Caenorhabditis elegans: one gene and its partners. The protein of the gene in region 1 interacts with the protein of each later gene in a pairwise test. Each region holds a gene or a part of one and is shown in the gene's direction. Other genes may lie near its edges.

The links.
Region 2: the proteins of dpy-11 (region 1) and eat-20 interact in a two-hybrid assay, tested with the Caenorhabditis elegans proteins (one large-scale study listed by BioGRID).
Region 3: the proteins of dpy-11 (region 1) and insc-1 interact in a two-hybrid assay, tested with the Caenorhabditis elegans proteins (one large-scale study listed by BioGRID).
Region 4: the proteins of dpy-11 (region 1) and metl-9 interact in a two-hybrid assay, tested with the Caenorhabditis elegans proteins (one large-scale study listed by BioGRID).

What each region holds. Positions count from the first base shown.
Region 1 is NC_003283.11:6,511,085-6,515,058, reverse strand, and holds dpy-11 (Thioredoxin-related transmembrane protein 1), read left to right. Parts: upstream 1-1,712; 5' UTR 1,713-1,713; coding exon 1,714-1,850; intron 1,851-2,176; coding exon 2,177-2,338; intron 2,339-2,392; coding exon 2,393-2,521; intron 2,522-2,569; coding exon 2,570-2,717; intron 2,718-2,762; coding exon 2,763-2,853; intron 2,854-2,903; coding exon 2,904-2,977; 3' UTR 2,978-3,474; downstream 3,475-3,974. Other genes in the region: ubh-1 (Ubiquitin carboxyl-terminal hydrolase), read left to right, coding at 3,671-3,721, 3,792-3,908, 3,962-3,974.
Region 2 is NC_003284.9:15,515,089-15,522,662, forward strand, and holds the start of eat-20 (Abnormal pharyngeal pumping eat-20), read left to right. Parts: upstream 1-1,564; 5' UTR 1,565-1,668; coding exon 1,669-1,702; intron 1,703-1,763; coding exon 1,764-1,899; intron 1,900-2,149; coding exon 2,150-2,235; intron 2,236-2,292; coding exon 2,293-2,445; intron 2,446-2,797; coding exon 2,798-2,947; intron 2,948-3,130; exon of another isoform or gene 3,131-3,258; intron 3,259-3,271; coding exon 3,272-3,324; intron 3,325-3,744; coding exon 3,745-4,014; intron 4,015-4,163; coding exon 4,164-4,306; intron 4,307-4,350; exon of another isoform or gene 4,351-4,479; intron 4,480-4,874; exon of another isoform or gene 4,875-4,995; intron 4,996-5,861; coding exon 5,862-5,989; exon of another isoform or gene 5,990-5,995; intron 5,996-6,048; coding exon 6,049-6,171; intron 6,172-6,423; coding exon 6,424-6,522; intron 6,523-6,574; coding exon 6,575-7,330; intron 7,331-7,574. UniProt on the Caenorhabditis elegans protein: Regulates pharyngeal pumping during feeding.
Region 3 is NC_003280.10:7,357,111-7,363,704, forward strand, and holds insc-1 (Protein inscuteable homologue C-terminal domain-containing protein), read left to right. Parts: upstream 1-1,802; coding exon 1,803-1,877; intron 1,878-2,088; coding exon 2,089-2,258; intron 2,259-2,843; coding exon 2,844-2,941; intron 2,942-2,986; coding exon 2,987-3,097; intron 3,098-3,476; coding exon 3,477-3,517; intron 3,518-3,630; coding exon 3,631-3,775; intron 3,776-3,827; coding exon 3,828-3,942; intron 3,943-3,994; coding exon 3,995-4,185; intron 4,186-4,232; coding exon 4,233-4,327; intron 4,328-4,372; coding exon 4,373-4,473; intron 4,474-4,521; coding exon 4,522-4,621; intron 4,622-4,672; coding exon 4,673-4,918; intron 4,919-4,999; coding exon 5,000-5,153; intron 5,154-5,200; coding exon 5,201-5,303; intron 5,304-5,613; coding exon 5,614-5,894; intron 5,895-5,942; coding exon 5,943-6,064; downstream 6,065-6,594. Other genes in the region: msra-1 (peptide-methionine (S)-S-oxide reductase), read right to left, coding at 6,167-6,541.
Region 4 is NC_003284.9:5,176,990-5,180,981, reverse strand, and holds metl-9 (DREV methyltransferase), read left to right. Parts: upstream 1-1,831; 5' UTR 1,832-1,867; coding exon 1,868-1,927; intron 1,928-1,983; coding exon 1,984-2,253; intron 2,254-2,299; coding exon 2,300-2,386; intron 2,387-2,665; coding exon 2,666-2,775; intron 2,776-2,823; coding exon 2,824-3,097; intron 3,098-3,147; coding exon 3,148-3,282; 3' UTR 3,283-3,463; downstream 3,464-3,992. Other genes in the region: sru-48 (Serpentine Receptor, class T), read right to left, coding at 1-147, 323-532, 578-808; Zinc finger C2HC domain-containing protein zchc-1A, read right to left, coding at 3,551-3,689, 3,972-3,992.

The sequences.
Region 1 (3,974 bases):
TCATTCCAGCAATCCTTATTCCTTCCGTGTTGGATAACGACCTGTCCCCAGGCGTTTCTATGGCTTTTTCCTCCCATTTTGATCGTTGAAACAGAGATGTTTGCTTTTTTAGAATTAAATTTATGCAACTTTTTAGACTGTGCACTTAAATAGAAGATCTAGAAATAATTAAACGAATTTTAAATGCATAGTCGCAGTAGTAATAGTAAATTGACTAAAGAAAATCATTTTTTAATTTTTAAACAATTTTTAATGAAAGTTTATCTCTGAATCTTTTGAATATCCCTTGTGTAAATTTGTACTTGACCAATTGTTCCAAATTTGTAAATATCAGTTTTTGCAGAAGCAACTACTTTTCGTTGAAAAAATTCACTTTTAAAATAGTGAGACTAGGTGAAAATGTTGTGAATTTTGGCATTTATAGCTACCACGATCGTGGCGAGACCCACTCAGATTAACAGCGTGTGCCTTTAAGTGACTTTTGACTTTTTCCCTAAATTACGATATTAAAAAACTTCCCATGCTTTTTTTTTCATTTTTTAAAATCAAAATTTGCCACAATAGTAGGATTGGAATTTATTCCATGTTTGAGGCTTCTCTAAAAACAAATTTCTAAATAATTTAGAGTTTTGTTTTAATCTTTTCTTTCTCCTATTTCACTTCTTAAATCTCATTTTCTTATCTTGGCAAAGTAACCTAATAGTCAAATCGATTGGCTTGTTGATCTTCACCATAATTTGACCCAAATCAGCTCGCCGCGTCGGTTTTTTTTAATTGACCGATTAGTCGCTATCACAGACGCTATTCATTAATAAACGTCAGCAGGAAGACCTAGTAATCTAGTTATCCACTTCACAACTCGATCAATAATTGCGGATCGGCGTGTTTCAACGAATACGGGAAGACAAGAGAGAGATAAGTTGTTTTTAGTGTGTGTGTATGGGTGAGTGTACGACAGTACCTACATACTGGAGGGGGAATATCCTTGACCCTTTGAGCGCGGACGATGCGACTTCCACCTTCTTTTTAATACATGCTCTGGATACAAGATATCTACCCATTTTTGTTTCTTTTTCTTTGTAGAAATTAATTATTGATCTGTAACTGTGAGGGCAGCAAAAATATTATAAGCCGATTATTTTTTCGCAATTCCAAAATGGACAATATGACTTGCATAATTTGATTACTGAAAAAAAGTGGGCCTTTATAATTTCGACATGAGCATTAACGCTCATATTTTCTGTTAGACAAACAATCTGTGGGTATTTGGTATTTGCAAATAAATATATTTGCATTGGCATTACAGAATCATACTATTTCCCCGCTATTCTGCAAGTTGTGTACAGGCTCAGTTGGTCTACTCTTGATGTTTTGATAGTTGTCTCTTTTTGGTTTTTTTCCTGTAGAAGATGGCTAGTAATACGTGGCTTAAGAACAAGATGAAACCGGTAGCCTTCTTTTTTCTCTTTTCGAACTGCAAAACGAACTGCGGCGACGGCGATAATGTGTGTGCGTGTCTGCCGACCGTACACCCCGCCGCCGAGATATATCCCTTCACTCCGACCGACGTCTTCCTCTTGTGTCTTCTCTTCACACCATAGGCGCTGCTTTTCGTTTTCAATCTTCCGCTTTCTATGTTTCTCTACATTCCTTCAATTCTTCATCATCCTTCCTGGTCACTCTATGACATCTATAAAACAAGTCAATTCCAGAATGCTGCTCCGATTGCTCGCCGTGCTCGGACTTTTCGCCGTTGGAGTCTCGGGGGGACCTACCAGATCTTCCAAGCTCGTCTTTCTCAATGAGGAAAACTGGACAGATCTTATGAAGGGAGAGTGGATGATTGAATTGTAAGTTGTTTCATTGAAAGCTCCAATTTGGAACAATGTATATAGTTTGTACTTGGTAGAATTAACTACTAAGGTTCTCAAGCATACACTTTAAAAACATTTTAATTAGTTACAAAACTACAAAATTGATAACTGATAAATTTTTAAAAATCCGCCGAGATGAAAATCTCAATTAAATTCCATCTTACTAGTACCTATGATATGAAAAGATATAGAGTAGAATCTTTTCATAATTTGAATTCACTGTTGGTTATTAGAATCTTTCTAAATAGCTATAGAAGAGTTAGGTCTAGATCATTTGAAAAAAATAACTTTTAAAATTCCAGCCATGCTCCATGGTGCCCAGCTTGCAAGGATCTTCAAAAAGCATGGAACGCATTCGCCGACTGGTCTGATGATCTTGGAATCAAGGTTGGAGAAGTCGATGTTACCGTCAATCCAGGACTTTCCGGTAGATTCCTTGTCACAGCTCTCCCAACAATTTATCAGTGAGTTTTTGAAAGCTATTTATTTCTACAAAAATCGAACGTTTTTTTTTTCAGCGTCAAGGATGGTGTCTTCCGTCAATATTCTGGAGCTCGTGACAAGAATGACTTCATTTCATTCGTCGAGGATAAGAAATACCGTGTGATCGACCCAGTTCCAGACTACAAGCATCCAAACTCTAAGCAGTACGCTTTTTTGTGGCACAGCAAAAATAATATTATAATTTTTTTCAGAATGGCCGTCGTTGCCGTCTTCTTCAAACTTTCGATGTCGGTTCGTGACTTGCACAACCATCTCGTCGAAGATAAGGGAATCCCATCATGGGCCAGCTACGGACTCTTCGCCGGAGTTACTCTTGCTCTCGGATGTGTTCTTGGATTCGTGAGTTTTTTAAATAGAAATTTCTGTAAACATCGTGATTTCCAGTTCATCGTTATCATCATCGACCAAGTATTCCCTACTGGACCAAGAAAAAGCCAACAAGCCAAGAAAACCGAGAAGAAAGACGCAAAGAAAGGTACTTTAAAATATTCGGATTCTGATTTCTAAAAATTTATTTATTTTCAGATTCTGGAACTGAATCTCCGACAAAGAAAAATGGAAATAACAATAATGGCAAAGAAACGAAGAAGACCAAGTAAATTCTATGCAACTTCCAAAAACCCCAATTGTTTTACCTTTTGTGCATCTTGTTATTTTATTTCAAATTATAATTTAAAAACTTCAAAATGTTTCATATTTATCCCAAACCAGCAGTCTCTGCCCCAAGTTTTTGAATTTTAAAAAATTTGTTAATTATAAGTATTGCCGTCCCCCAAGATATATATAAGTCACTTCTTCCTATGGGTTCCCGTCTTTTTTGTCTCTTTTGTTTTCACCAATGCTTCTCTCCTTCTGCGCATTTCATTTCGGACTCTGCAACGACGACACGTAATTAAAGCGACATCTCTTGCTGCGAGAGCCAGTCGGTGCTGGTCGAGTGTGTGTTCGCTTTGGCGTCGTCACGCCTTCTTTCCCTGCTGCTTTTCGCTCCTCATTCAATGCATTGATCCGTTTGTCCGTTTTTTTGTCCTCTGCTTTCTCTCAAATATTTCACTTTTTACGAAAAAAGTTGTTAATAAATCATAATTCAATTAAAACCTTTTTTGATAATTCAGAAATATATTAGCGCATTGGGTATTCACAATATTATGCTATTGATTGGCTTTTTTGAGCAGACCCGTAAACAACTATTGTTCGAGAAAAATTCTTTGCATTTATTTTTCATAGGAAGATTTTCATAAACAGATTTTATTACTGAATATTTTCTTCAGAACCAAAAAAACTGTCTAAATATGGCCGCTCCATGGACTCCGCTCGAATCGAATCCAAGTGTCATCAATCCGGTTCGTTGTCTCGGTGGCGTCGTCGCCAGTACACGCACACAATCTAATTTAATTCTTCCTCCGTTTTTAGATGATCGAAAAAATGGGAGTGAGTGGCGTGAAGACTGTCGATGTGTTGTTCTTTGATGACGAGTCAATCGGAAAACCTCAGCACGCAGTTATCCTATGCTTCCCGGAATACAAAAAGGTATTTTTTGTGACAAAATTTGAGATATTACGAGCATGACAAAGAAAATTTAGGTTGACGAGATTA
Region 2 (7,574 bases), on another chromosome or scaffold:
TTGATCGATCTGTCCTCCGTTCTGTTGTACACACACGCTCTGGCGATTTTGATATTTTGTAGAAAACCGCTGTCGGTTTTTCCAACGGGTCTATTCTCCTTCCCTCTATCTCTCTGGATACAACCAATTTTTCCGCTTGATGAAGTTTAGAAACTATTGCAAGTTGGTTGATCGCTTAGATTTCTGTGTGGCCCCTAACACTGATGAAGGTCAGCACAGGATTTAGATGTAGCGTTTGGGGAGGTAGAAGAGGTTGGACCTGGTTCAGGCTACTGTACTTACTGTTCTTTCACAAGGAGCCTTGTTTGATTTGTTATGCATGTCTAAATTTGTTTAGTTCTGCAATTGTTATCATTAAGTGGACTGGACTAAAAATGATTCTAACAGATATGTAATTCTAAAATTTCTCAACTTCATAGCAGCTTGAAATAAGTTTTTAAAAATTAATTCTAACTCTTTATTGGTCTGGTTTTTCGCGCGGTTGTCATTAATCATTCAAGAGCTTAATATTTCAAAATTCCTTATTTTCCTACGTCCCAACCTTATCGTTTGATTTTTTCAACTGGTATACCTAATTAGAAAAACACGTTTTACGGCTTATGGCTTATTAAGTTGAAGCTTAATCTGATAAGCTTTAGTATCACTTTCACCTCCCCCCTCTTCTCCCGTTCACCTCTTTTCATTTCACAATCAATTTTCATTGCGGGAATCGGAGACGGCGAACGCTGCTGCTGCTGCTGCTGCTGGTTCCACTCTTCCGCTCGTGCCCCTTGCTCACCATCAGATTTCGCTTGCCTCATCGGGGCCGCGCTCCGAGTTTTGCTGTTTGTCCGCCAGCCCGCCTATTCCGTCCCTCTTGGATCCCACCTCCTAACCTTCTTCTGTCCGCGTCTCCTCCCGCGTGCGCACTCGCACGAACCGAACAGCGCGTCGCGCCTGTGTGCGAGCGCGCCCGCGACGATCACAACATCAGGGGGGCCCCCACACCGGGAGGTGTTTTACCCGTCGCCCCCCGGGAGCCCCCCCCACCTCCTCTCTCTCTCTCTCTCTCGGAGTTATGGTGATGGTCAAGTTTGTTTTTTACGCAGTTTTGACAGCTCACAATTCACTCCTCACTCCTTGTCTCTCGCTCATTTTTGCTACGCGACCTCCCGGTACCAGTCTAGGCCTCCACTTTAGTGGTCAGTTCATGACTACTTTCTTAGTGCCTTGTTTCCACCGTTCATGAGTTAACAGTGTGGTCAATTAGTGTTAAAGTGTGACCAAACTTATTGCTTTCATCTTTTGCAGCACTACGCTTTTATACCTGTTTTAATGGGTTCCTATTTAAAATTGGTAAACTAGGTGAATTTGGTAGTCATAATAAATTTAAAAAAAACATGTCTTCCTTTTCCAATTCCTTTTTCATTCTACCATTCCCAATTCAATTCTCATCTTTGTGGCCGATCTCTATTCTCTTAACGGTGGCTAACCTTCACACGTGTTTTATGTCTATCGCTTCGAGGAAGTCGTCGCTATTCTCAAAAAATACTCAAATTGAATCTTTTAAATTTTTTCTGTTTCCAGACTGACAAAACTCCACTGAGAAACGGAGGTGAACAAGACGCAAATCGAGTTGTTGCGAAAGCAGCCACAATCAGTTATCACTTCTCCTATATTCATATCAATATGACCACGTTTTGTCGAGTGTTGCTAATATTTGGTAAGATTTTAAACAACAAAAAATCGAAAAAAAAATCACTTAAAAAATGTTAATCTTTCAGGTATTTATGTGGCAGTTTGTTGCGCGCAATCAGTCGAAGACGACGTTTTTCATTTCACGAACCCGTCGCAAGGCAACGCCGTCTGGATACTCGACGAATCCAGTTTACCATGGACCGGTGGTTATCAGTTTTTAAGGTGAGTACACAATTTATACACTTTATACACTTTTGAAATGTGACCACACACACACACACGCCGCAGACCGCGGAAATTATTTCGAGTTACTTTGCCCCCCGGAAGCGTAAGGTAATCCTTACGCAAAACGTTCGTAAAATGTAGAACCTACCTAGTCATGAAATTTGAAACCTACATCCACATCAAAATACAAACGAAACATCTTAAAGCACAAAGGTTATTGCTTCTAGTACATAATAATTATTTTCAGGTCAATCTCCGGAATGCCAACTACACTTCTTTCGGTTGTTGACAGCTCAACAGGTGTTACGTTAGGTCAATGTGTTGCACCACAAGGTAAATTAATTTATATATAAAACCAGTTCTTTCCAGTGATAAAATCTAAATTTCCAGATGCCACCGGAAATTTCTCGAAACGATGGGAAAGGTTCAGCTGGGAGCTGACTGCCTCCGGGCTCGACTGCACATTCGAGCACGGAGCCGCGATACGTGTGGAGTTTGATCGTACTCAAAATCCACGCACTTTTTCGATCCGTATCCAATCGAGTAGGTTTTTTTCTGTAAAATTCATAAATTCTCAAATTCTCCCATTCTCTCGCACACACAACTTACATGCCAAGGTCAATGTTGACACTAATCTCAGAAGCGCTGTGCCTCTCGTTTTCGAAAAATTTGCGGTCCGATACCATGATATTTGCATTGAGCACAAAAACACACACAAATATGTTTTTGTGGATCTCCCCCCTCTTTGAAAAATGTTTTGTTGTTCGTCAAGTGGATCTTTCCAAAACGACTCGACCTGACGTTTTTTGTTCTTAGCTCTTTCTCAGCTCCCCACAATCCGGCAAAATCCATACAAGATTTCAACATTGAAAACATATGAATGAAATAATTTCAGTCACGGGACCAGCCTGCCTACGCGACGTTGTTGTCCAAACCGAACAAGCCACCGGATGCCCACCACATCTCTCAAGGAACTCGTTCACCGCCAACGCACTCAACTGTTCCTGCCCCTTCTTGGATGCAGCTAATGAGGATTCGGAGATTGGTTAGTGTTTTAAAATGTGTTGTTTTTTTTCCTTCTATTCTCAAACTATTTGTGGATGAGGATTTCCCAAGTAGCACTTTCAAATTGAGCGCGTGTTTTGTTTGTTTTTCGGGAGGAAAAAGTGGACATATTATTTGATAAATAAATAAGTGTGAAACGGACGCACATTCACTTTTTGCACTCGAGTAGCCACTTTGGTCACTTCGCATGTTCCGGCTCCATGCATGATCCTGCATGGGTCGAACACAAGACGTGAAGTGTGAAACAAAGAAAGAAAAACACTATTTGGGATTCACAATTAGTTCAAATTGTTTTTTTTTCCAGAAAACGAGGATGTCGATATGCTCGCCAACACACCTCAGTTCCCATTGTTCAAGGTTTGTTTATATTCCGATTCACAGTTTATGAGAAAAGTGCAAAATGGGTAGGGCGATGAAGAAGGATGAAGGAACTAAGTAATTTGAGCCCATTATTTATATTTGCATATTCAACTCATATGCTCACTTTTGAAAGTGAAGAAAGATGAACCAGATGTGTATGTATATGTAATTGGAAATGAGCAAAAAGCTATGAACTTTCGGATTGCATAAAAATTGTCTAGCGAACAGTATAACTACATTAGCAATGGCTCTACAATTTATGAACATACTTAACGTAAAGCTTCTGACAAAACCAGAGGTGTAAAAAATTCTTAGTTTCAACCAAACTTCTTGGAACATTAGCGTGAATGCTAATAAACTTAATTTTGTTTGTTTTCAATTTTTCCATAATGTCATCCTATCCAAACATTATTTCAGGGAATCGACCCCTCGGTTCTAGGAAGCGCCAACCCTCCAACACTTCCACCATCGCCATGTGCCAACCACGAATGTCACAATAACGGCACGTGTCTAGTTTCCCAAGAAGGCGCCGCCACGTGTTTGTGCCGTAATGGCTTCACGGGGGATCGTTGCGAGTTGGACGTATGCTCTTCGGTGCCATGCCAAAACGGCGGAGTATGCCGATCGAACAATGGAATCGCTTATTGCGAATGCCCGCCTGCATTCACTGGACTGCTCTGCGAATCGGTACGTGTGGCTTGTAGTACATTAAGACGTAATACGTCTATTATATTAAATCTTGTTTCTCAACTCTTTTCTTCTTTTCTTGACTTTTGAATTTTTTTTTCTTTTCTTTTTCATCGCATTTCTACAAGTCGATAACTCAAATAATTCAGGCCCACACCGACGAATCGGTTGCTCCAATTTGTAGACCGGAATGCTCCAACGGCCAATGTGTATTCAAAGATGGTCAAGCTCAATGCGAGTGTCGTCAGGGTTTCACCGGCGCCAACTGCAACGTACTTGACGTGTGCCTCGGGTATGAATTGACTCTTTTGGAATTTCAAAATAAAACAAAACGACACTCGACTGTCAAGTCGTTCTCGAGTTTGCTCTTCACTCATTAAGGCGACTATTCCGTGAGCTGACCCCCTCCCCCCCCCCCCCACCGCGTTGCTCCAGTGTGACAACTTGAGATGTTTGTTTTTGACCACCTTAAATCTTTCAAAGCTCGCGCAACAAAAAGGTTTTTGCACAAATGAGGAGAATTAGAGAACTACGGACAGGTGTGTAGCTCAACTGTAACTTTGCCCGACTGCTCGGCGGCGACGAGTGAAGCACGTAAGGGTGAGCGCTTTAATCTTGACACTTTGCGAAAAAGGGCAGTGGACTTTGTATGGGTTGTTGAAATATTACAAAATTTTATATGTACTTGTTAATTGAAATTAACAATCGAGTTACATTTTGGAAGATATTATAAAATTTTTATTATAAAGCTAAACATTATCTAAAAGAAAAACAATTGAATACCTATAAACATTTGTAATTTCATCTCACTGAACCTTTTGACCTGCTTTCCCGATTATGCGGTATAATGTTTCACCCTATCCATCCTGAAGCTTTTTCTTTGAAGCAAGTTCCAAGTAGACACAAGCGCAAGCGCCGTTGCCCGCACTGCTTTCTGTTTTTCTCCTCCTCCTCCTCTCAATTGCAAAAGAGCTGATTACACAACCTGATGAATCCGGAGAGGTAGGATGGAGAGAAAACGGTAAGCGCCCAAGCCGAGCATACATAAATACACACGACGACAATGACCTGTCCCCCCTGTGTCTATGGTCACTCTTATTTGCTCTCTCATTTCAAAACTTTTCTTCATCTCCATCCTCACCCAACTACCGATGGGGGGGGGGGGGGGGGCAGACGCTGCTCATTTTTCTTGAGCGCAACAATCCGATCGTGTCATACCGTTTTTCGTTTCGGTCATCATCATCATCATCATCTTTATCATCATGGTCATTATTATTCCGAAATTTCGGCACGGAAAACGGACGGCGGGATTGGAGGAAGTTGACAAAAACTCATTTGATGATCGGATTAATTAGGGGAGACGGCATGGGAGGCAGATAATCGCTTTTCGAGAAAAAAAAGGATGGAAAAAGATTTGATGAACGGAGTGGAATGTAAAGTAGACAGTGGGAAGCGACACACCCTTGTTGTTCCTAGTTGATCACTAATTCTAAAATTGGGGAATAGAAAAACTGGAGTTTTGTTGGTTTCTTTGTAGTTTTTGAGGAAATTTGGTAATTTGGTGATGCAGGGAAACATGAAAATACTAAGCATTATATAATTCGAATTATTGAAATTACTATGTTAAGTTGAAATAAAAGCTATCAAAACAGTCATTTCAATTCACTAACCATACTGATTTTGAATAGGATTAATGTTAAGACACTCATTTTCGATAATGAATTTCTAATGTCTTTAGTTAACTGCTGGGAAATTTTTTTTTGAGGAAAAGTGATTCAAGCAAACATGAAAAACCTTAAACTATACAACAATATAAATCAGCCATATAATTTCCGTTTCTTTTTCAGAGATGCCGCTTGTTCCATGTTCGGTCCATTGGCGAAATGCGTTCTCGATGACAACATGGACAAAATGTCCAGTCTCACATTGATCAACGGCACTTATGATTGCCTGTGTCCACATCCAATTCATGGACGTATGTGTGAATTTAATGAAACGAAAATGATCTGAGAACAGACCGAATCCTGTTTCCAGAATTTGTCGACTGCATGCAACTTCACGCACCATCTGCAACCAGCGTTCAGCCAACGGAACAAGTTGTCATCAACAATGTGACACCATCGTTCCCAGTTTTGGAAATTTCAAAGCTTCCGACAGGTAATAATAATAATTTGAAAGGGATTCAAATTGACTGGGGGGGGGGGGGGCAGGATAGCTCACTAGGTAGTGGTGGCCGCTAGCAATCTGGAGGTCACGCTTTCGACAGTCCCCAGCTAGAATGTGGCTAAAATTATATCCTAGCGGGAGCACCACCAGGCAGTGTACCTGACTCCTAGATCCGCAGTGCATTGCACTTGAATAACGGATCGTCCTTTAATCCTTCCTCCTAACCTTTATTTTCAATAACAGGTGCACCAGTGACTTTCACGGCTACTTCAACAACTCTTATGGTCACACAGCCAACTGTGACTGTTTCTCCTACTCATCAAGTTCCTTCTGAGCCATTTGGTACGTTTTAGGTTTTACTTTTATAAAATGAGTAGCCAATTCTAATTTCCAGTTGGATTCACAGTAACCCGTGCGCCACTTCGACCACTCGACATCGGCTCGACGACCCTTCCACCACCATTCAACCAGCACATCATTACCGCTGGAGAGCCAACCTGGAGCAGTCAGCAGCCACATCAACCATCAGAAGTACCAACCCAAACCACGTTCATCTTCCCACAAACCCCAGAAACCACCACTTTTGCACCAACAACTGGAACACAGCAGCCAGTGCACAAGTTTGTGTCACCAAGTGTTCCAGATGAGAATGAAGAAGAGGAGGAAGAGGAGACGACTGAAGAGACCGAGGAAACCTTCCCAACACCAAGCACAATGCAAGTCGCCACAAACGGACAATTCACAACTGAAACCGCATTTGTTACTTCGACAATTCCATCAACGACAACTGACATGGAAGAGACCGACGAAGACGAAGATATGACTGAAGAAGTCACTGATAGCTCAACGCAACCATCAACTACTGTCTTTGTTCAACCAACCACCACATTCACCACAGAAGCTCCAACGACCACAATGGAGGAGGAAGAGGAAATGACGACTGATCAAGTGGAGGACATCGAGTCTGAAGAGATTGCAACCACGACAACACAGACAAGCTTGCCGTTCTGGATGACCACTACCAATAAGCAAGTTGTACCAGATAGCCCAACACCAATGGTTATCATGCCACATCCTCAACCAGATGAGAAGATGGAAACGAGTACGGAAGGAGTTGTTGACGAGGAGAGCGACGAGGAAAGAACGACAGGTATACGGAGTTTTTATGCACTTTTTTTAATTTTGGATTATGGATTCTGGATTTTGGATACTGTAGGTGCACTGTTGTAGAACCGTAGTAGTACTATAGAGGTATTGTAGGAGTTTTGTAGGGGTGCATTAGTAGTACTGCATGTGCATTGTAGGGTTACTGTAATAGTACTATACTAATACTCTATGGGGTACTATAGGAGTACTGTAGGAGTACTGTACAGGTGCTGTAGGGGTACTGAAGA
Region 3 (6,594 bases), on another chromosome or scaffold:
TCAAGTGAAGCCTGAAATATAATCTTGATATTTTTCCAAAGATAATTGATACAATGTTCTTTTGTAAATAAATCCTTTTGTAATTTTCATATTATTCTAATGCTTTTTGGGGAAAGGTTTTCGGAAAAAAGGTTTCCGCATTCTAAAAATATTCCAGACAATCCCTATTTGATGAACAATTGGTGGTGGTGGGCGCAAAAATCCACTTGGAAATCAACCATATGTCACTCATCAACCCCACTGTTTTGTGACGTTTTGATGCGGAGCCAGAAGGAAAAGAGACACTCATTTATCTTTTTTATCATCAAGAAGCGGAGAATCACAGCGGGTTTTTTGGCTGATTTATATCCTCTATGAACCCACGAGATAGGTGTTATTCTCCCAAATCACACCGTTTATTGCCCTTTAAATTTTAATAGGTTTTAGAGAATTCTACAGTAGTCAGAAAAATACGTGTTGTTTAAACTTATTGTTAGAACAAAACGAAATTCTAGCTGTTCAGTGGAGGCACTCATCATAAAAAAAGTTAATTATCTTTGCAGGAACAGTAGACAAAAACTTATTAGCAATAACCTTTAGTTTCTTCTAGGAACAATTGTGTTTTAGTGTAATTAGGTTACCTGGGGGTATATATCATGTAGAATGAGCATTTTTCGCTTATAGAAATTTATTTGAAGAGTCTCTTCAAAATATACAAAAAAATTAGATTTCACTTCTAGAAGCTTCTGCCTAAACTTAAACATAATTTAAACTTTTAAATTAAAACTTCAAACTTTTTTAAACTTTGTTAAACTTGAAAATCACAGATTTTTTTAAAATTTGACCAAACTCCGGAGTTTAGGTCTGAGGTAGGCGCGTTTATCAAATCATACCTGAAGCTCTAGTAAATTTAAATCTATATATTCAACTGAAAAAGTTTATTGAAAAGTGTAGAAATTCAGCTTTGTGGCATGATTAAATCACCAGTTGGTATTTTGTTGGAAAAAAAATGTTTAGACACACTTTTGGTAAATTGCCAAAAAATGCCAAAACGTGTGATTTGAACACCATCTATAGCTTATAATATTTGCGTAAATATACATTTTTATTAGTCTTCCAAAGACGATATGACATTAATTTTCATTTTAACTCTAAAATTTTTTTCTGTTTTTAAATGTTCTGATACTTATAATATATTCAAGATTTTTTATAAATTAAAATTAAAGTCTGCACATCTTATCATATTATGTAGTACACAAATTGCTCCTGTGGGTGCTCATCTTGCTCTCTTTCTCTCTATTTCTGAGATATTGTGACCTCTACCCTTCCGCCTGCTTTGTAACTCACCAGCTGATTTGCATTCCCTCAAAACATGTCCAATGCATTCAACTAGACCGGAACCCAATTGGCATATTTGCTCCACAAATTTTTTGACATTTCGTTTTTTTTCGTTCAATCTTACTTCCGCCTGCCTCCCGCGTCCCACGTCGATTCATCTCTTCTCACTTGCCGCGCGCATGAACTGATCCCGAATAGAGAAGTCTATGTTTGTTTTGAGAAACTCATCATTTATCACCTTCACTTTTCTCTGTGTCTCTCTATTTCATACAATATTCACAAGGTCCCGATGGGCTTCCCACTTGGATATTATCGCGCATTGACAAGAAGAGACACACTTCTTACAACAATATCTTTATAAAATTATGAATATACTTGGAGCGTCCTAGTGAAAGTGACAACTAATAATTAGAACTGCTCGTTTCTTTCACTTTTCATTCTTTCTTTTCAATTTTTACTTTTTTCAGCTAAATGCTCATATAAACATGGCCCGATTGGCCCGATTCTGGGATTCCCTGGAAAACGAGAATTTATTCGATATAGTTCCACAACCTCCAAAGGTCTCAATTTATTGTTATTAAAATTTATAATAGAAAGAAATAAAAAAAAGAGACCCTTCTAAACTTTAGGCTTTACTTGAAAAATGCTTTCAAAAAATTATTGTTAACTGATACAAAGAAGCAATCTCTTGGAAATATTTTTGATGAGCTTGAAACATTGCAAAAATCAGAAATCAGATGAAAACTGTTTATTAATAAAAATTAATTTCAGTCTACTGTAACCCGGTTTCATCAGCAATGGCTCTCAAGTTTGGCAAATGCCCGAGACGACGAGCTCCAAACAATTTTATATGCAAAACCATTGCTTCCAACTCCGGAATCTATCGTACAATTACCCGATGAAGAATATTATGGAGCCAAGAAAATCTCGGTCGGCTACAGGTAAAGTGGTTGTTTGTTGTTCAATGCACAGGGAGTCGGGTTACCCGACTAGTTGCGGTCATTCAAATCATTTTGCTCTTCTTTTTCGCTTTACAAGCTTCTTCTTCTTTACTTTAATGAAATATTTTAGCAAAAATTTTGTAATTAATTTTTGTTGTGTTCCGCCAAGAAATTGGATGCGAACAGGTGTCATCTTGGCCGCCATCTTCAAATAATTAATGACTTTTCTCAAGTTGTTGAGCATGTCTCTTTCCGAGATTCTTTGTTACTTTCTATCAATATCTCTCGTCTCGTATAAAGTTCTTATATACAGAAGTTTGAGAAATAAGTTATTTTATCCACATTTTCTTTCAAGCTTCCAACTCCAAAAGTCAAATCAAAAAAGCAAACAGTAGCTATTGGTGCGAAAAGATATTTACCGCGCGGAATGGGAAAGAGATAGTTTGCAATTTGATCCGCATTAAGAATAAATTCATTATTTCATTCATTTGTAGTATTATTGATTACTTTCAAATCAATGGTTCTTCGGTAATTCAAATCATCAAAATTTTAAAATATATAAATTAATTGTTATTTTATTTTCAGCAAATCAATGTTATCAACTTCATTGGGCAATATATCAGCTCCTCCAAAACCTCAAAGGAGGATAGCAAGGCTACGAAGTGGAGCAAATGATTGTGCAGGTAGTAACAAAATGAAAATTACTTTATAAATGTTACAACTTTCAGCAAGTCTTCCTCAATTGTTGGAAAGGAATTCTATCGCTGAGATGATGAACAACAGTCTGAGTGACAAGTATAACTCAAGTAGCACTACTTTGTGCTCGTCCGTTCATGCTGGTAAATATTTTGTGGAGAATTTAAAAGTTGATAACGATAGTGAGAGAGCTAAAACACGTCAAATGCCCTTAAATTTTTCAGAAAGAAAGAAACTTGATACCTTGCAAAAATGAAATTATTCTGGATTTTAGGCAGTATCATTTTTTCAATTTTTGCGCAATACAATTTTAACGATTTTTTCTTGAATTCATCTGGACTAGATAGAAAACAATGCAACTTAAAAAAAGGAATCAAGAAACAAAAAGTTGACTCCCAACATAAATTTTATGAACTCTCTTTTCCTTAAACTTTCCCTAGAGCACTGGGAAAACTTGCGGCATAAAAATGCTTTCAAGTTTTGAACATTTCCGTCCTGTTTCTCAAACTCGAGTTTTTATAGAGTCTTGCCCAACGGACACCGAGGATGCAATAATTCGAAATGTGAGTTCACTTTCTTTTATTCCTTCGTTTTTTCTCGTTTTCTATCCCTTCACCACCCCTTAAATTTTATCTTAATTGCTTCGTTGATTGGCAACACATGTTGAACCATTCAGATCAAGTTGCCCGGCTTCCGAGGAAACATTTCACGAGCTCTGAGCCAAAAGAGCAACTCTCCATCTGGTTGTCGAACACCAACTCCTAAAACAGCGCCTCCGTCGTATGAACAGTTTCAGGTTTTGCGACGGAATTCTATGAAATGTGAGTAATTTTTATTTCGTTATCTTTTGCTGGAAAAATTGAATTTTTTCAGCTAGTGTGCAACCACAAAGAAATGGAATTTTGTCTCCGGCCCCACCAGTTCCAACTTCTTCAAGAGCAAACACAATAACTGTTAATGGAGCACATGTTCAACAGGCAATGAACAGGTACTAAATAATTATTTTTAACATTAAAGATAAAATAATTTTGCAATTACAGAATAGACATGAGCACTGACAGCGCAAATACAATTCTCCGATCTCCATACAGTACTCGTTCGGATAGCATCACAAGTGTCGACTCTGGACAATGTTCCGGAGATCAAATCGAACGAAGATCAAATTGTTCAACTCGACAAGAAAGTAAAGATGATGATGATACAGGGATGCCAAGCTATGCGAGAATGGCTAGTCAGTAGTCATTATTTGGAAATTGAATTTTTAAAGAGAAAATTCAGGTACAATGGATCATGTTCTCAGAACATCATCTGCTTTGTATACTCTTCTTTCTTCAGCTCTGGATCCAGCAACTTGCAGAGATTTGTTGGCAAAGGTATTTTGTGCATACTGAATTAAGTTACAAAAGTTAATATTTAAGTCTTCTGTGTTCATCCAACTGCTTGAATCATCTCCATGTACAAATTATCTTCCAAAGACTGAAATGGCTCGATTAAAAATGAATGTTCAAGAGTTACAAAAGTAAATCTATTATTGAAACAAATTAAATGTTACCTTACGTTTTTCCAGAAATCGAGATAAAGGAATAATTGACATGAATAATATGACAAACTTTTTTGCGATTCTTCTCAGAAAGTCTATAGAATCAGTACTTTTGGTGTTTGTGAGGGTAAGTTACTTTTAGTTTAACTATTCAATTCATTCAAATATTTAATTTCAGATAATATCCAAGAATCTATGTGAAAGTAATGGAAAAGATCGTCTGACACCTATTTGTTTAGAGCATCTTATTCATATTTGTTTATTTGGAGATGAACTTTGTATTGAAGCAATTCAAAAAGGATGCATCTCATCAGTTATTCGAATTATGAAGAATGATCAACCACAGGAGAACACTCTTAGATTTTTACTTCGAACATTGGCAGTGTTATGTGGAGTTTCAAAAGGAGCACTTGCTTTGCTCACGGTAATTAGATATATTTTATAATCAATACTTTTCAATACAAATTCAATACAAATTCAATCAATACAAATTGATTAATTTCAGCAAGGAGGCTTGGATTTGGTTATTGATAGACTTTTATCCATTTCCTCATCAATCTGTTCCGTCGAGGCAGCTGGTATTCTGACACAACTTACCAATCCTCAGTCTGCATTCATTCGGTTAAATCATGTGGAACCAATTATATCCAGACTTTTGGGTAACCAATTTAAATATAAAAATTGGAGACTAAATAATTAATTTCAGATCTAATAGATCAATGTAAATCAGGTGACTCTTTGCTTTTGGCAACCGCTGCATTGAACAATGTGACACTTCAGAACCCAAATGGAGTTGATATTATGTACAGGTTTGTTGAATTTTAAGCATTTAACTATTTTCGCAAAAGCTCAGTACAAAATTAAATTTGAACCAACATTAAATTGAGCTATAGCACGTAATTGTAGAAAATGAATGCAAAATTTCAAGGCGAATTCCTTGTTCTAACTTTTGTAGCAATTGCTACAAGTTACCTAGAAACTACAAAACGGTAAACCAGCCTACCAGATAAAACTGAAAACAGTCTCGAATTTAAAAAAAAATCTGAAAATTTATAGGATCGCTCTCTATTTTGGGATTTTGAAAAGTTTTTTGCAACATGTAAATGTAAATATTTTCAGAAATAATTCAATTCGTCGTCTGATATCTGCTTATAATCGAGAAAATTGTGCCACTGTCTTCGTCCAGGAACAAATTGTTACAGCCTTTTCTCGCCTTGCCGCCCGTCATTTAGATCATCAAATGGTTGATCAAAATGCAATTCCAGTGCTTCTTGAATTTTTATCCCTTACCCATCCAATCCATGCGGATTACTGTAGAAGGATACGGTACAAAGCTGCTGTATGTATTGGTACTTTAGCTAACAGTGAAATTGGGCTCAAAGCCTTGTATGGTAATAATGGTGAGATTTTCAGAATTATTCAACGTTTCATATATGTTCAAGTTACAGCCTACGCAATTTTGAGCAATGTGCTTTATGATGACAACAACTCTTCAAATCCATTTAATATGATATGCAACAATATTCGCACAAAGTTGGAATCTAAATACCAATCTGAAAGTGCAGTATAATATTCAAATATCTTCCTTTGTTAAACAAACAAACACAAGAATCTGTGATAAAATAAAATTCATTGAAAACCTGATAAAAGTTCGATTGTACATTCATATAATTTAAGCATGACAGTTTCTTGGATCTCCTCCTGACAGAGCATAGTCCTTCACCTTATTGACAAAAGAATCCTTTAATCCGTACTCTTTTGCAAGACGCTCAAGATCGTGGAAGTCCTGGAAGCCAGCACAATATGCGTTCAATTTTGTGGCAAGTTCTCCTTCAGCAACTTGAGTATCAAGAAGAGACAGTTCATCGAAAAGAATCTTCTTTTGACGGAACCAATATTTTTGATGGTAATCTTCAGCTTGATAGAACTTGTCCAATGGCTCAATATATGTTTCAATGTCTCCATGCTTGTCCTTTGCTACTTTCAAAGTTTCTTCAGCGACTTTCTTTTGGTCGTCATTTACGTAGAGAATCGCAGATTGGTATTGCTGAAATTGAAACGAATTAATTTGAAGTTTAAATGTATTTTAACCTAAAAAAT
Region 4 (3,992 bases), on another chromosome or scaffold:
TTCGGTGTAGGAGATGAAGACAGACCCGAAGCCCAAAGGAGATCCCCATTGTCTACAATAGCCTTTTGCTGGATACATAAAGTACGTAATTCCAAATGGTGAGAAGAAAGCCAACGGAATGAATGTGTAAAAAACGTAAGACGACCACTGAAAATAAGGCGTTATTAATAATGTTGACGGTATTTTCACTATTAGATTTGCGCATGTATCCCTCTACTTCAAAGGCTCATATCATGGTTGCTTTTGAGCGAAAGGGAGTGCAAGCATGGGTGCGCGGCAATTCTACAAAACGAGCCAGTGTGGCTAATTAGATAATTGTTACCTCTGCATGTCTGGTTGGAGTTACATAGACAATCATTCGAATGATAGAAAACAATAGTGAGGAAAACATTGACCAATAGGTTCCCCACATTTGTGACAGGTAAATAATTTTTAAGTAGTGATTAGGCTCCATGGCAGCACAGCTAGCTGTAACAAATCCGGTAGAAGGCACGCGGAATGCCAAATTATCAGTTATGAAGAAAATATAATGCTGAAAAAAAAAACAGATAACAAAGAAAAAATATAACCAGCTTACCGACAACTGCATAATAACCATAGATTTAAATACGTGCGGATGGATAGCTTTGGTAGCCATGGAAGGTTGGGAACAATAAATTATTGCCATTCTGATAAAACAGATAAGTCCGAGAAATACGCATGCTGACAGGCCTAGAACACACCAAGACACTGTATTCATTTTGAATTCGTAGTTCAGGTATCTACTGTCATTGTGAACAGACATAACCAATTCGGGAAACGTGGGCATTCTTCCCAAAAGTTGATTGAGCCGGAGTGAATCAGAAAGGAGAAAAGAAGAAAACTCAAAGTCAATAACAATGGTAATCTTTAACAAAAGTGTAGAGGTGTGACTTTATCGTTCAATTCTCAGGAGATTCAACCCATAAGATCTCAGATATTCTATATTCTATGCATAACTGATGAACACGTATAAGGAGTTGGGAATAATAATGATTTTAGTTTTGAAAATAACATCTCTTAAACACGAATCAGAGAAGCGGGAAAAATATCTAAATTATTGGCTTCAGAGTCATAATTACAAATGAGAAGAAAAATGAGAAAACCGGCTCTTTGACGTAAATGATTGAAGCTTACGGGAATGACTATTTGGGATACATTTCAAGTTCTGCATGGACTTGTGCACACTTGTAGTTTTGCAGTGAAAAATTATGGCTTTACATCTGACAAATACGTGGCGAAGAAGTGGAAAGGTATTACAAATGGTTTTTTTTTGGAAAGATTTCAAAAAGTTAAAGTGTGGGTTTCAAAACTGATAGTGGAACAACTAGACAATTTGGAGGGAAATATAATATATTGTTTTTTTCTGATTTTTTAAAAATGTTTCCAAGTAGCTTTCTCCCGATTTTGGCACAACGATGTTGTGGTGGAAAATCTCAAACTTGTCATCGATAACATTGATACATCTTTTTTCTGTCCTTCAACGGCTCTTTTTCACATATTGATGGGTCCCATTCGGTGTTTATTTCAAATATATTAATTGGCACGGTATGTTTTGCATTTGGACAGTGCAATGTGGCTATTAAAAACAGGCTTTAAACTAGTTAAATTCTACTTTTTTCTTCATTTCGATACGACGAAAACAATTTTCTCGCTCATCAACTCAGACCTGTAAGTTAATTTCTCAACACACTGTTCCCGCTGCGGCAAACCCGCCATCTTTTTCCTTATTGTGAATCGAGCGCGTTTGCACACACCGGGCCAACAGTGCAAAGCGTTCCCCCATTCAAACCGTCTTCGCCACACACCACCTCTCTTCCTCTTATTGTTATCGATTTTCACTGCCAAAATGTCATTTCAACTGGAGCGGACGTACGGCTTGAGAGCCCAGCATTGGTATCAGCCAGAGGTTTGTTCTTTTTAATTCAGATAATTTTTTGAAAATTTGAAAATTAATAATTTCAGACAAGTCTCTCAGATGTTGCACAAAACTTGTTCGCCGCATCGTTGCCAGATGGGGAAACGCAGCAGTTTCTTGACAACTCCAATAAAATTGCCAGCAATTTCTTTTGGCAGACGGTTCGCAACCTTGGGGTCATGATTTTGTCGACAATCTATTCGAAAACTGATATCAATGGAATGACCGGATTCGGAAACATGTTCCTTTTCAGTGAAAATCAGTTCGCCAAGTTTCTCGCAATCGAGAAAGAATCTTGGAATTCTACCGACAAAAAGGTATTTATGGGAAATTGTTTCACCAACCCGCAATTATATATTTCAGGTGCTCGATCTTGGAGCTGGCAACGGAGACATTACAGAGCACATGCGCCCATTCTTTGAGCATGTTTATGCTACAGAGTTGTCATCGGTAAGAACTTGAAATTAAAAAAAAAGGCTTTGAATACTGTAAAACATTTTATGATGACATAATGCTTTGAAAACGTTTTCTGCGTTTCTTTTCTGCGTTTTTGGCTTAATGTCAAGCAGTTATCCCAGTTTGAATTACCTAGGACAACGAATGTATCCAAATATTTGAAAAACGCCAAGCCGGCTGTTTTGAAATTCCCACTATGAAATTTAAATTTTTTTGCAAAAACGGAAACGTTACTCCTCCTGCAAGATTACTACAAACAAAGTTTTTTTGCAGAAGATGAGAAACCGGCTCAGCTGGAAGGGATACAATGTTCTCAGTGCACTCGAGTGGGCTGAAACTGATGTTAAATTTGATTTGGTCACCGCTTTCAACCTCCTCGATCGGTAAGTGAACAGAAACTCAGATTATTCAATGAAAGCTGCAAATTTCAGCCATTACTCGCCAGGAAAGCTGTTGAACGACTTGTGGAACGTCGCTCGCCGCTCAAACTGTAATGTCATCGTGTCGCTTGTGCTTCCAGTCAGCCATTACGTGGAATTCAATCCAAATGGACGAAGCACCCGACCTGACAACTACCTGAACGTTGCTGGTCGTACCTACGCCGACCATGTTCATCATATGATCGTCAATGTTTTCAAACCGGCAAATTTTGAGGTGCTCAGATGGACAAGATTGCCGTATCTTTGCGAAGGAGATATGAACAATGTGGGTGGAAGTTTGATTTGAAAATTTTTTCAAACATCAAAATATTTCAGTCTGCTTACTACCTTCCTGACGCGATCTTTCTTCTGAAACCCATCGAGCCAGAATCGCCTTCTTCCACAATCACACAGGAAACAACTTCCGTCTCCCAAGAATCTACATCTCATGCTTCACATACCGATCTTTAGACTTTCAACATAATTTATTCACAAAATACTCAGTCACCAGTCATTTATTACGGTTCTTTCAACATACCGTTGCTTCCAAATCGTGAATCCATTTCTCCAAAGTATTTTTGCAAGTTCGTGCTCACCCATTATATCGGTACCCATGATTTTATTTTTAAGTTTTAAATGAATTTTTTGAGACAAACAGCTTTACAGGAAAAGTGCATTTTTATATGTTAAAGTATTCAAAAAAGTTTAAAAAAAAACAGAAGTATACAGAATTTGAAAATCAGAAAATACGAGAGCGAGAATTATTACGACTGTTGTTTTTGGCTTGAGAGAGACGGGAGTCGCGGGAATCGTCACGCGGACAAGCTCTGGAAGATGTTCTCGAACCACTACGACTCGCTGTTGTTGTAGTCGACGCTCTGTAAACTCTATTAATTTTTCAAAAGGAAATATGATCATATTACCACCTTGAACCATTGAAAAAATATACAAGCAGAGAGATAAAAATTAGGCAATTAAACAATGGGATGGGATAATGAGGGGAACTGAACCAAATATGAAAACCAAATTGTGAAGAAAAATGAATAAATCAAGTCAGTGGTTGATGCTCATTTTACTCATACGTTGAGCCAAGGAGATTCTGAAATGGGTAAACGAAATGCAGACGACACAAAATATAATTGGCGTGAAGAAAAACTCACGGTGTTTTTAGGCGTTGTTGT